3 linked regions of the Coturnix japonica genome follow. The protein of the gene in region 3 interacts with the protein of the main gene of each other region in a pairwise test. Links are inferred from orthologs where the notes say so. Each region holds a gene or a part of one and is shown on either strand. Other genes may lie near its edges.

Region 1 (2,474 bases), on a different chromosome or scaffold from region 3:
TTACACTGACAAATAGGTAGCTTCTGGACTTTAAGGAGACCAAAACTTTAAGAGCCAGAAAGAGACGAGGCGAACTCATGGAGAGTGGGTCCAAGTTGGCATTAAGCACTGGAGCCTGAAGGCAAAGCTCAGAGCTTTTAGGGCTTTAAACAGAAATCTTTCTAAACATTAGTCAATTTTTACTGGCTCAGGTTATATTATACTCATTTCATTGATCTGGAGCAAAATCAGAACCTAACCCTGCATGACCTCCTCTAATCAGGCAGCTTATTCTTATGCTACAAAGTATCACCCAAATGTACTTCATGGCATCATCCAACCTCAAAACATCCTTATTAGCACCAAAGGGTCCATGTCACACAATACTACCGCATTGTTTCTTAATATGAAGAACTCCATAAAGCTTCTTGAGGCTGACAGGTGTTCTCCTGTTGCTGCTTTGAAACACAACCTTAAGTGAATTCAGCAATTAGCTGTAGTCCAAGTGCAGAAATCCCGCTACAAAAAATAAAAGAAATGATGCAAACAAAGTATCTGGTATGATGTCCAAGAAAGAAATAATAACACTCAAATCTTCTGTCATTTTTATTAAAGCTGCAGAGTCTGACTACACACAACAAATATTTTATCGATATAATCTAAGTTAATAAAATAGTTGAACAACTCTTTCAATTTATATTTGTATAGAAATGATCTATGGAACATCTCATCTTGAAACAGCAGTGCCTGAAAACAACTATTCAGCAGGACTTTTTTGAAGAACAGTTTGGGACTAGAGGATGCACTCTTCATTCTCACAGAAAAAAAGAATCCATGCAAAAATAACCCCTACCCTCTTCCCCCATTCTCTCCTAACCCAAAACATAAGGCCTTATCAAATGACCACATAAGGGACTGGCCCTTTGTTTTTCCAGCATTCCTCTTCATGTCTACATTAGGAGCAGTTGTCTAAACTGAGTAACTAAAACAAGTTGAAAAGAAAAATCAATTGCACAATCCTAGTCTGCGGGTGACAAAGTCATAACATCTCTTTACACAAGTCACTACTGTTTTTCCAGTTATGAGCATTCATTATCACATTGTGTTTGCTCCCCAGCTCTTGCCTATCTGGTTGATGTCAGTTATTGTCGATACGCCAGAAGTCAGTCTATCTAATATTGCTTCAGTCTCCCTTCTTCATTTATATGTAGCTTAGATTCTACGTAGCACTGCCTGAAAAGGGCCTACTCTGTGGTATTTCCCCCCTTTTTTAGACAAAGCACATAGCTCAGGTGGTATCTCCTCACTGCAGCTACGTGCCTGCATCGCCCGTGAGATGTCTTTTATAGATCATGAGCCACCTCTTTGCTATATCATTCCATTTATCTTAGTCCACTCATAGATGTCCTGTTCACATACTATGTCCGAGTTGATGAGGAGGTATCTGTCCCCAACACAGAAGTGTTTCTGGCAGGCCGCGCATTTGAAGCATTCAAGGTGATATACTTTGTCCTTCACCCGCATGGTCATCTCATAAGCCCGGATCCGTTTGTCACATGAAGCACAGAGGCCATCTTGGCCAAAGAGCCTAAAACAACAACAGCAAAGAAGCAATTAGAGTTCTTTTGCTGGAGAGGTGGGGAAAAAAATAGTCAAAACAGGAACACGGCATCAGTGCATTGCCTCATTAGTCGTACGACTGCGAAGATACATAGAGGTCACATAGAAAGCTGCTGAGCAGAACTCAGATCTTTGAAATACCAAAAACTGAGGTAGAAAGTCCAAGGTCTTCACTTATTTCTAAGGTAATTGGCTTCTGTGATTAATGACGTTAACCTGAAACACTGAGCAGCTTCAAACAGAGTAAAGGTTCACCAGATCATAGCATAAAATTGTGTGATGCTAATACTTGCTCTTATACCAGCAACAGACATTACCTTTCAGCACCTCTATCTTCAGCTGTTGCTATTGTCGTTCACAGGAAAAAGTTGCCACATTATGACATAGCTACCATTTAATATTCTACTGTCTGCATTCATTGCTGCCACATTTGACATTCTTTCAAGCTCACATATTTCTGTATTCATGAAATCACTCCTGCTGGGTTTCAGGATACATGCTAAGACCTTACAGGTACTCTGCCGTTACAGAAAATTCTATGTTCTGGACTGTTCTTTTCTGAAACAGATTGAGATTTCCTGCTGAGATCAGTATGATATTTTCTATTAAAAGGAGCCCCTAGCAAAGGCACCATGTATGTGTCTCCCTCACAGCATGTGCCAGAATTCTCAGCTGAAGCAGAGCAACACACCCAGCCATGTGTGAGGACAAAATGAATGGCAGCATTTCACACAGTCTGCTGGTTACAGAGTTTGTAAGTCATATCATTAATAAATAAGGGACATATATAGAGTATGTATAAATACAAAATCATAGAATCATTTAGGTTGGAGAAGACCACTAAGATTATCACGTATATTCTTAGAAGGAGGGAG
Region 2 (3,655 bases), on a different chromosome or scaffold from region 3:
AATGACAGCTTTTGGATCCTGGCAAGAATTGCTTTTTGTTCAGCGTGATAGGAACAATGCTAAATAGAAGGCTTACAGTAATGCAGCTATGAACAAAATTGTATGGTTTTCAGTGGACACCTATCAAAGAGGACGTACTACATATTTTAGGCTTAGGGTGTTCTGTTATATAAACTTGTCACTGAATCTGACTTTCACATATGGCAAAAAGAGAACTTGACTGTTGGAAAATGCCTTGTACCTCTACGAGCTCAGTATAATTGAGAGGCTGGGTGTTTGGAGAGATGGCTAAGAAAGGCAGAGCTAAGAGAATGGTGACTAGGAGCAACTGAGATAGTTGAGGTGTTGGACCTGAGGGCTTGCTGATTAGCAGCTCTCATGATTTAGGGACATTTCTCTCAGTTGGGCAAAAGCAAGCAATGCAAATCTTGTGATGCTGGTACTCAGTAAATGTGCCATTGTCTTTGTTTTTAGTGCCACAGTCTTCATACCCTATGCTGGAATATAGTTTAGCCTTCTTATTTTTCCCAGTAGAGTGTTTCCTCTGTATGAAGAGAACAGGCATCTTCATCTCAACCAGCCCTTGCCAGAGCAGAAGTATCTCATCCCCTTTCCCTTCCCTTCAACAGTGCACATTTTTCTCACCTAACTGCTCTGCCATTCGTCGTCACAGGAGGTAGAAGTTTAGGCTTGGGTGGGAGAGGAGGGTATTGGAGCGGTCGCCGATCTCCTGCTGTGGCGTTCTTGGATATGTCTGCCTGCTTCCCTCTGTGGGCTCCCTGCAGTGAAAGCCTCCTGTAGTCATCTCTGGCCTGTCGTGCGAGGGAGCGTCTCTTCTCATCTGCTGCCTTGGATTTCCGCACTGGAACAGAAAAGCAGTCATACTGGAGTGAACAAGCAGGCAAGTTCTGAGCTTGCTGCTGCTTAGCCATCTCTCTGATAGCTGGAGGTGAGAAATAACGCATTTCGGAGCATTTAGGTTCTCTCTGTGTCCCAGCACTAGGAACAAACAGTGTTACTGTGGAGGGAGAGAGCTTTGGAACTAAGGTACTTCCTCTCCTCTATTTCCAAGCAGGCATCTTAGGTTGCTTGTATTGGAAGTCATTTATCTTCCTCGCAAGCCTTGAGTGACTCAGCTACTCTGGCCACTGAATGAAAGATTCACTTATCTGTAACAACGTTTGTTACCTCTCTCCCATCACTTTTGGGCATCTACTGTTTTAAAAGAACCCAATTCTTATTCCTTCAACAGATAAAAATCTGGGTTCTAACTTTGTACTTAGAAATGACTTGGTTTTGTTTCATGTGACTTGGTTCAGTCATAAATTTCTGTGATGCCTTTTGTGTGAGCGGAGACCTGAGCAAGAAGGAACAGTTATCCAATCAGGTAAATAAATGTTTTCAGCTGGCCCACAGACTTTTTGGAATGAAATTTGGGAGGGGGGGGGGGGAGGAGGGAAGCACAATTACTTTGTCAAATTAAAATCCTCACTCAATTACAAATTGTACCATTATGTCTTTCTTGAAAAGCTGGAGGGGTGGGAGAAAGGAGGATGGGAGAAGCAAAGGGCCCTTCAGCCTTTCATTTTAATTTGTGCACTGAGGCAGTCCTTGCAATTTTGATAAGATCAGGAGTTAGAGAGATCTTACACTGCATGTGGTAAGATAATGTTGGAAAAGCCACAGCAATACATGAACAAAAACATTTGTTTCTATTTCCAGGAGACCGGGGAGGCAAAAAAATTGCTGAAACGACCACTAATGAATCCTCTAAAGGATTTGAAAATCCTGATGGGCCTTGCAAAGAGAAGGGAGTGTTGCTGTAACTGTTTTGTGGAGTAGAGAACTTAGCTGGATATTATTGTTTGTTTGTTTTTGTTGAGTAACTGGCTCTCCAGCCTGAGCTATGCTTAGTGATTTCTGTGCTTTTGTAATCAAATTCAATTTTTTAATTAGAAACAAAAAAGGTTTGGCCTAAAGTGGAGACAAATGATAGTACAGTATTGCCATCTACTGAACAGTGAGGGAAAAAAAAGCATCAAGTTTGACTTCAGTTTTCTTTCTCCCCAGGAAAGGAAGATGTGAGGAGCAGAACGTGAACCTGGATGGAAACAAAGGCAAACAGAGTGTCAGGGTGTATCTCAATATCTTCTGTGTACTAAGCTTGTGACCCTTTGTTCCAGTCTCTGAGAAAGCTGCACAGCAAGATTCCCTCAAAAGGAGTCAAGTTTGAAATATCTTTTCAACTCAGGCTACACTGAAAAATCACCTTTGAGGTATGTGGTTACTATGAGAGATCCTAGAAGGAAATGTAGTCATCGTAATAACTTAAGTAGAGAGTTCAGGACATACTTGGCAGCAGTGGTAGACGTTAATGTAAGTCTTACACTGTTTTGTCATTTCTGATCCAGTTGTTTAAATCTTTACATTAGCAATGTGTGGCAGGGCTCTGGATCAATGAGATTTTTTTGTGTCTGAAATGGAACCAGATGAGAGGACTGTGCCTCGCAGGGAATCATAGAATTGCTTAGGTTGGAAAAGACTTCCAAGATCATCAAGTCCTACCTCAAGGAAGGGAAGGTAGAAAGCAGGGAGATTTGGAGTGGCCCCTTTTTTGTGTTTTATGCAATACTTTTTTTCATCTTTCACATTATTTCTGAGGTCTCAGATCAGCTTACCTCACCACAATACAGTTCTGTTGTGTAAGAAGGAGCCTTACTCAGGCCTCAGGATCTTCTGCACAGAATTAAGTAAGTGGCAAAAGCCCTCCCCACTCATTTCTGATGTCTGAAAAGTTTGCTATCAACCAGGTGCTTTTGAAATTATGCCTTTTAGTTTGTCCTCACTACCTATTATTCTTTTCCACATGAGCAACATCTACTTCAAGTTTCTGCCAAGGGCCTACTTCTAGTTTAAAATTAATTACCCTGGCTACGCTCATGTGGGTCCTATCATTTTCATATGGTATCTGAGGGCTGTCAAATGCCAGCAAGACTCATTCTGCTTGACATTGCTTAATATTTAAATCTATTATCTTTCAATTAAAAACAAAAGCTCTTTAATCGAAATACAGAAGAGACTGAAAATGGGAAATATTTACAAGTGGAGAATTTTCTGTAGGATAAATTTGCCATCTCACTGCCCAGCTCTAGTTTCAATGCTGTGTGGACTCGGAAAATTTTCTGATGCTGCATCTCTGTGTTTTTTGACAGTACTCTCTACCTACTAACTGAGAAATACTGAGTTCCAGTTTTGCAGGAGAATGACTGAAATGACCACTCAGAGCTCTAAGATTTCTCAAGCCCTATAGGAAAAGTTCTTACAAAAGATCATCCTAAGATCTTACAGGATTCTTGCCATTCAGGCTCATTCTCATCAGATTTCTGCAACGTCTTCTCTGAGCATGCATGGCTTTGTGGTACATGGCTTTGTGGTATTGCCTTCAGCTGGACTGTAGTCTCTTCTCTTGAATTTCTCCTGTGTCCTCCCTTCATCTGTGAAAGAAATGATGTGTTCAGTGCTTTGTCCCAGGCTAGTTTTAGTCCTGCTTTTTAGCTAGTTTTGAAAAACTAGGGATTCCATTCTCAGTTGTGAATCCCTTTGATTTCAAAGAACCTCTTACTTTACTGCGGGTTATGACAGAGAAAGAAGGGCA
Region 3 (3,755 bases):
GATTCCCAAGATCATCCAGTCCAACCACCCACCTACCACCAATATTCTTCCACTAACCCACGTCCCTTAGTACAACACCTGAATGTTTCTTGAATACCTCCATGGACAGTGACTCCACCACCTCCCTGGGCAGCTCATTCCCATGCCTGACCACTCTTTCAGAGAAAAAATTGTTCCTAATATTCAACCTCAATCTCCCCCGGCACAACTTGAGACAGTTCCCTCACCCTATCACCAGTTACACCAATCTCCATTCAAGCAGTTGTAGAGAGAGCTGAAGTCTCCCCCGAGCCTCTTCTTCTCCAGACAGAACAATCTCACTTCCCTCAGCCATTTCTCACAAGACTTGCGCTCCAGACACCTCAACAGATTTGTTGCCCTTCTCTGGACACACTCCAAGGCTTCAGTGTTTTTCTTGTGGTGAATGGCCCAAAACTGAACAAAGTACTCAACGTGCAGCCTCACCAGAGCTGAGTACAGGGGTACAATCACTTCCCTGCTCCTGCTGGCAACACTATTTCTTACACAAGCCAGGATGCCATTGGCCTTCTTGGCCACCTGGGTGCACTGCTGGCTCATGTTTAGCTAAGCACCAACCAACACCCCCAAGGCAATTTTCTTTACACTTTTAAAGGATACGATGTTTGCAATTTCAGAAGCTGGCAGAACAAAACCTCTAAATTGTTGTAAACATCAGAAGCGTTGGCTGGCGCAGTAAGGCCAAACGCCTGAGACTGCGGTGGCCCCACAAATGGCCAACGAAGCTGGGTCAGCACTTCTTCAAAGTCACTGCAACACAAAACACACACTTTACCACCAAGCTACGGCACAACATGAAATGAGGGAGTGATGAGTCGTCCTGTACCTTGACAACTTGTCCTTAAGAATTTTATGCCAAAATTTAACAGTGGATCTCACAAACGAAAGAAGATGAGAACAAGATGACTCCTGAAGTTTAATATCCAGTTCTGCCATAGACGCTAGAGTACTGGCTGCCTCCGGAACATTGTTGGTCATCAGATACTGCTGAATGTTATCACTATGAACACAAGAACATAAATACAAGAAGAGTTGAGACAAAAATTCACTAAAGATAACACAAAAGAACCATCATATTGAGAAACTGGCAGAAAACATGCTCAATCTGAAATACTTTAACGAGGTTACCACTCCCATCACATACATCCTACAGCAAGGATTCACGAAACAAGTTCTTTGTGTGAAGTTCCTTAAGTTGCCTGTCACCGAGACCTGAAGGCAGAAGGAAAGAAGGGAGGCCCGAAGTTCTTTGAAGCACTGCTCTTTATGGAACTTGTTCAAAGATCTGCTTTTCCTCACGCTTCCCAGGAGGAAAACTGGAAGCAAATTTCAGACTGCAGCACACCTGTCACATTTTCATAGCTCAGACCAAGTTGTTTCATAACTTAAGTCTCTCTGTACAAAATCTGACCCAAAGGAATCTTCCAATTTCTGACATTCTTTACAAGCATTACACAAAGTTTTCCACTGAAGGAAGCTACAAATCACATTAACTAAAACAGCACTGTTCATTCCCATTACGATAAAATCAGTGTACCAGAATGAAAACTCAGAATCACGAAGTCTGAAGCGTAACATTTCCGCTCAAGATATTCCAGTATTATTTTAGTTCTTACACCATAATTTACAGTGGGTGAAAGAGTTCCATCCACATATCGACACAGTTACTGTTCTCTTCCTTAAGCCAGAGCAATAACTTCCAGTTCTCACCAGAGAACACGTTAACAGTTTATATGGCCAGATGACAACTTGCTGCTCTCGTTTATTCCTTAAATGTGATTATTTAACACTGAATCTTTGAAGAAGCTGTGTGATACCACTAGTAAGAACTCTCCATAAGTACATCGGCTTTACCTTAACTCTTCTATTTGGGAAATCCATTTCAGATAGGCCAGGTGATGCTCAATCTCCTCCACCTGGCTGATCAGCACCCCGAGATCCTCCATCCACGGCTCAGCTTTCTCTAAGTGGCTGCTGATGGAATCGGACAGGAGAGTTTCTTCCTCTAGAAGCCGATTCAGAGATTGTTTTGAGTCCTCTGCATTCTTTAAGGCGTTCTGAATTCTTTTAGGGACTTCGGATGAAACCGTGAGAACCTGCATTTACAGACATGCATTAAGCCTCACACAGAAAAATCACACGGAGAATGAGCACAGACACTTACCTGTTCTTCCAGCTGCCTCTTGTTTTCAGACAGCTTCTCAATGAGGCTGCCCAGCTTCTTCAGAGAATCATAGTCATTCCCAACTTCTCTTTCCACAAATTCTGAAACGTAGTACGGGATATCGCAGCGATCCGGATCTCTGACGACTTCTTTCTTCGGCACATTAACGGCTGCCATGCCTTCTTTTTTTCCGCAATGTTATTTACGTAATTTCTACTTGGTTACCACTAAGGGAACACGACCAACTACCGACCTACTGAGGACACGGGGCTCCTGGGAACGCAGGGCGATTCCTCTTCACCTGAACATTAAACGAGGCCTTTAATAGCCATGCCGGCCTTTAAAACGAGGCCTTTAATAGCAATATCAAACCGCCGGCCCCGCAGCCCCTCGCTCCCCGCCCCGCCGCGTCAGCACAGCGCGGCCCAAGGCCGCACACATCACAGCCGGGGCGGGCCCAGAGGCGCATGCGCACCCGCCTCCCCCTCAGCCACCCCCATGGCCGCGCCCGCCCCTTCCACACAGCTCCCCCATAACCCCACCTCAGGGAGCACAGAGCCGGGAGCACCTTCCGTTCACGGCGTTTTATTCACACAAGCAGCACGAATTCCCTATTTGGTTTAGAATCGTTTAAAATGCAGCTTCGTTCTGCCTCCCAGCAGCAGGCTGGCTCAGCCAGGGACAGAGCGAGGCGCTACGGACTGACACACCGTTGTGTTTGGTTAACTATTCCCAGTACCTTGTCTTGGTGAAGCTGAAAATGCACACATTTTCCCCGGAAGAAGCTCGTGTTTAATTAAAACAGCTGTGCCCTGTGGCAGCACACAGCCAGCCCGGCTGACCGCAGCAGCTTCTTGGAAGCAAACAGCCATCAGTACCTTCACTCAGCTCTAATTTTCCTAATGCTGTACTTTAATATAGAGATCTCAAGGTGTGCTGAACTGATAAAAACATTCACTGCTCGCTGAAACAGAGCGAGACGAACATGTGCCCAGGTCAGAAGCCATAAGCCTGCTTCTCAGAGATGCAGCAACACAGCTCAAGCGACCTCATGGTCCATTCGTTACAAAGCACCAGTCACTAAGGCCCGTATTACATTACAACCGGCATCTTGCTAATAACTACTTAATTTAACTGCTTGCACTAATAAAAACTTAAAAAATACAAATCTCTCACTGCCACCCTTCAAAGATTTGTACAGAACGTAAGTAGGAAAACACTTTGTACATGTTAAAATCTAGGCCGTGCCAGCAGTTCACTCAGCGTAACCAGGTAGTGTTCAGCTGCGTTTGGTTTTTAATGCTTGTGTCCATCTTCAGAACTTCTCGGATCGCCATAGTGGCGTAAGTGGATGGCGGAAGGGAGAACTCCATCTTCAGTGCCCGGAATTTACCATCTATCGTAAAGAGGAGAGACAAAGCAAAAAGAAAGTAAAGAACATAAATAATGCTTACTCTGAGTGCCATCCAAACCGGACCAAAGTTTTCCACCGCCATCCCTGATCTCATACAACAGCCTCGACCACCACACCCCAGTCTACAATCCATAGTGT

What was found.
Region 1: the proteins of RINT1 (region 3) and LMO2 interact in binary tests that used the Homo sapiens proteins (3 or more experiments, as listed by UniProt). The two-hybrid records come from large-scale screens. The link is inferred for Coturnix japonica from reciprocal best matches to the Homo sapiens genes RINT1 and LMO2.
Region 2: the proteins of RINT1 (region 3) and SH2D4A interact in binary tests that used the Homo sapiens proteins (3 or more experiments, as listed by UniProt). The two-hybrid records come from large-scale screens. The link is inferred for Coturnix japonica from reciprocal best matches to the Homo sapiens genes RINT1 and SH2D4A.

What each region holds. Positions count from the first base shown.
Region 1 is NC_029520.1:6,404,882-6,407,355, reverse strand, and holds the end of LMO2 (rhombotin-2), read right to left. Parts: intron 1,568-2,474; coding exon 1,348-1,567; 3' UTR 573-1,347; downstream 1-572. UniProt on the Homo sapiens protein: Acts with TAL1/SCL to regulate red blood cell development. Also acts with LDB1 to maintain erythroid precursors in an immature state.
Region 2 is NC_029519.1:30,066,499-30,070,153, reverse strand, and holds part of SH2D4A (SH2 domain-containing protein 4A), read right to left. Parts: intron 3,495-3,655; coding exon 3,347-3,494; intron 863-3,346; coding exon 646-862; intron 1-645. UniProt on the Homo sapiens protein: Inhibits estrogen-induced cell proliferation by competing with PLCG for binding to ESR1, blocking the effect of estrogen on PLCG and repressing estrogen-induced proliferation. May play a role in T-cell development and function.
Region 3 is NC_029516.1:12,589,286-12,593,040, reverse strand, and holds the start of RINT1 (RAD50-interacting protein 1), read right to left. Parts: upstream 2,542-3,755; 5' UTR 2,381-2,541; coding exon 2,204-2,380; intron 2,136-2,203; coding exon 1,894-2,135; intron 1,040-1,893; coding exon 866-1,039; intron 790-865; coding exon 640-789; intron 1-639. Other genes in the region: PUS7 (pseudouridylate synthase 7 homolog), read right to left, coding at 3,463-3,599. UniProt on the Homo sapiens protein: Involved in regulation of membrane traffic between the Golgi and the endoplasmic reticulum (ER); the function is proposed to depend on its association in the NRZ complex which is believed to play a role in SNARE assembly at the ER.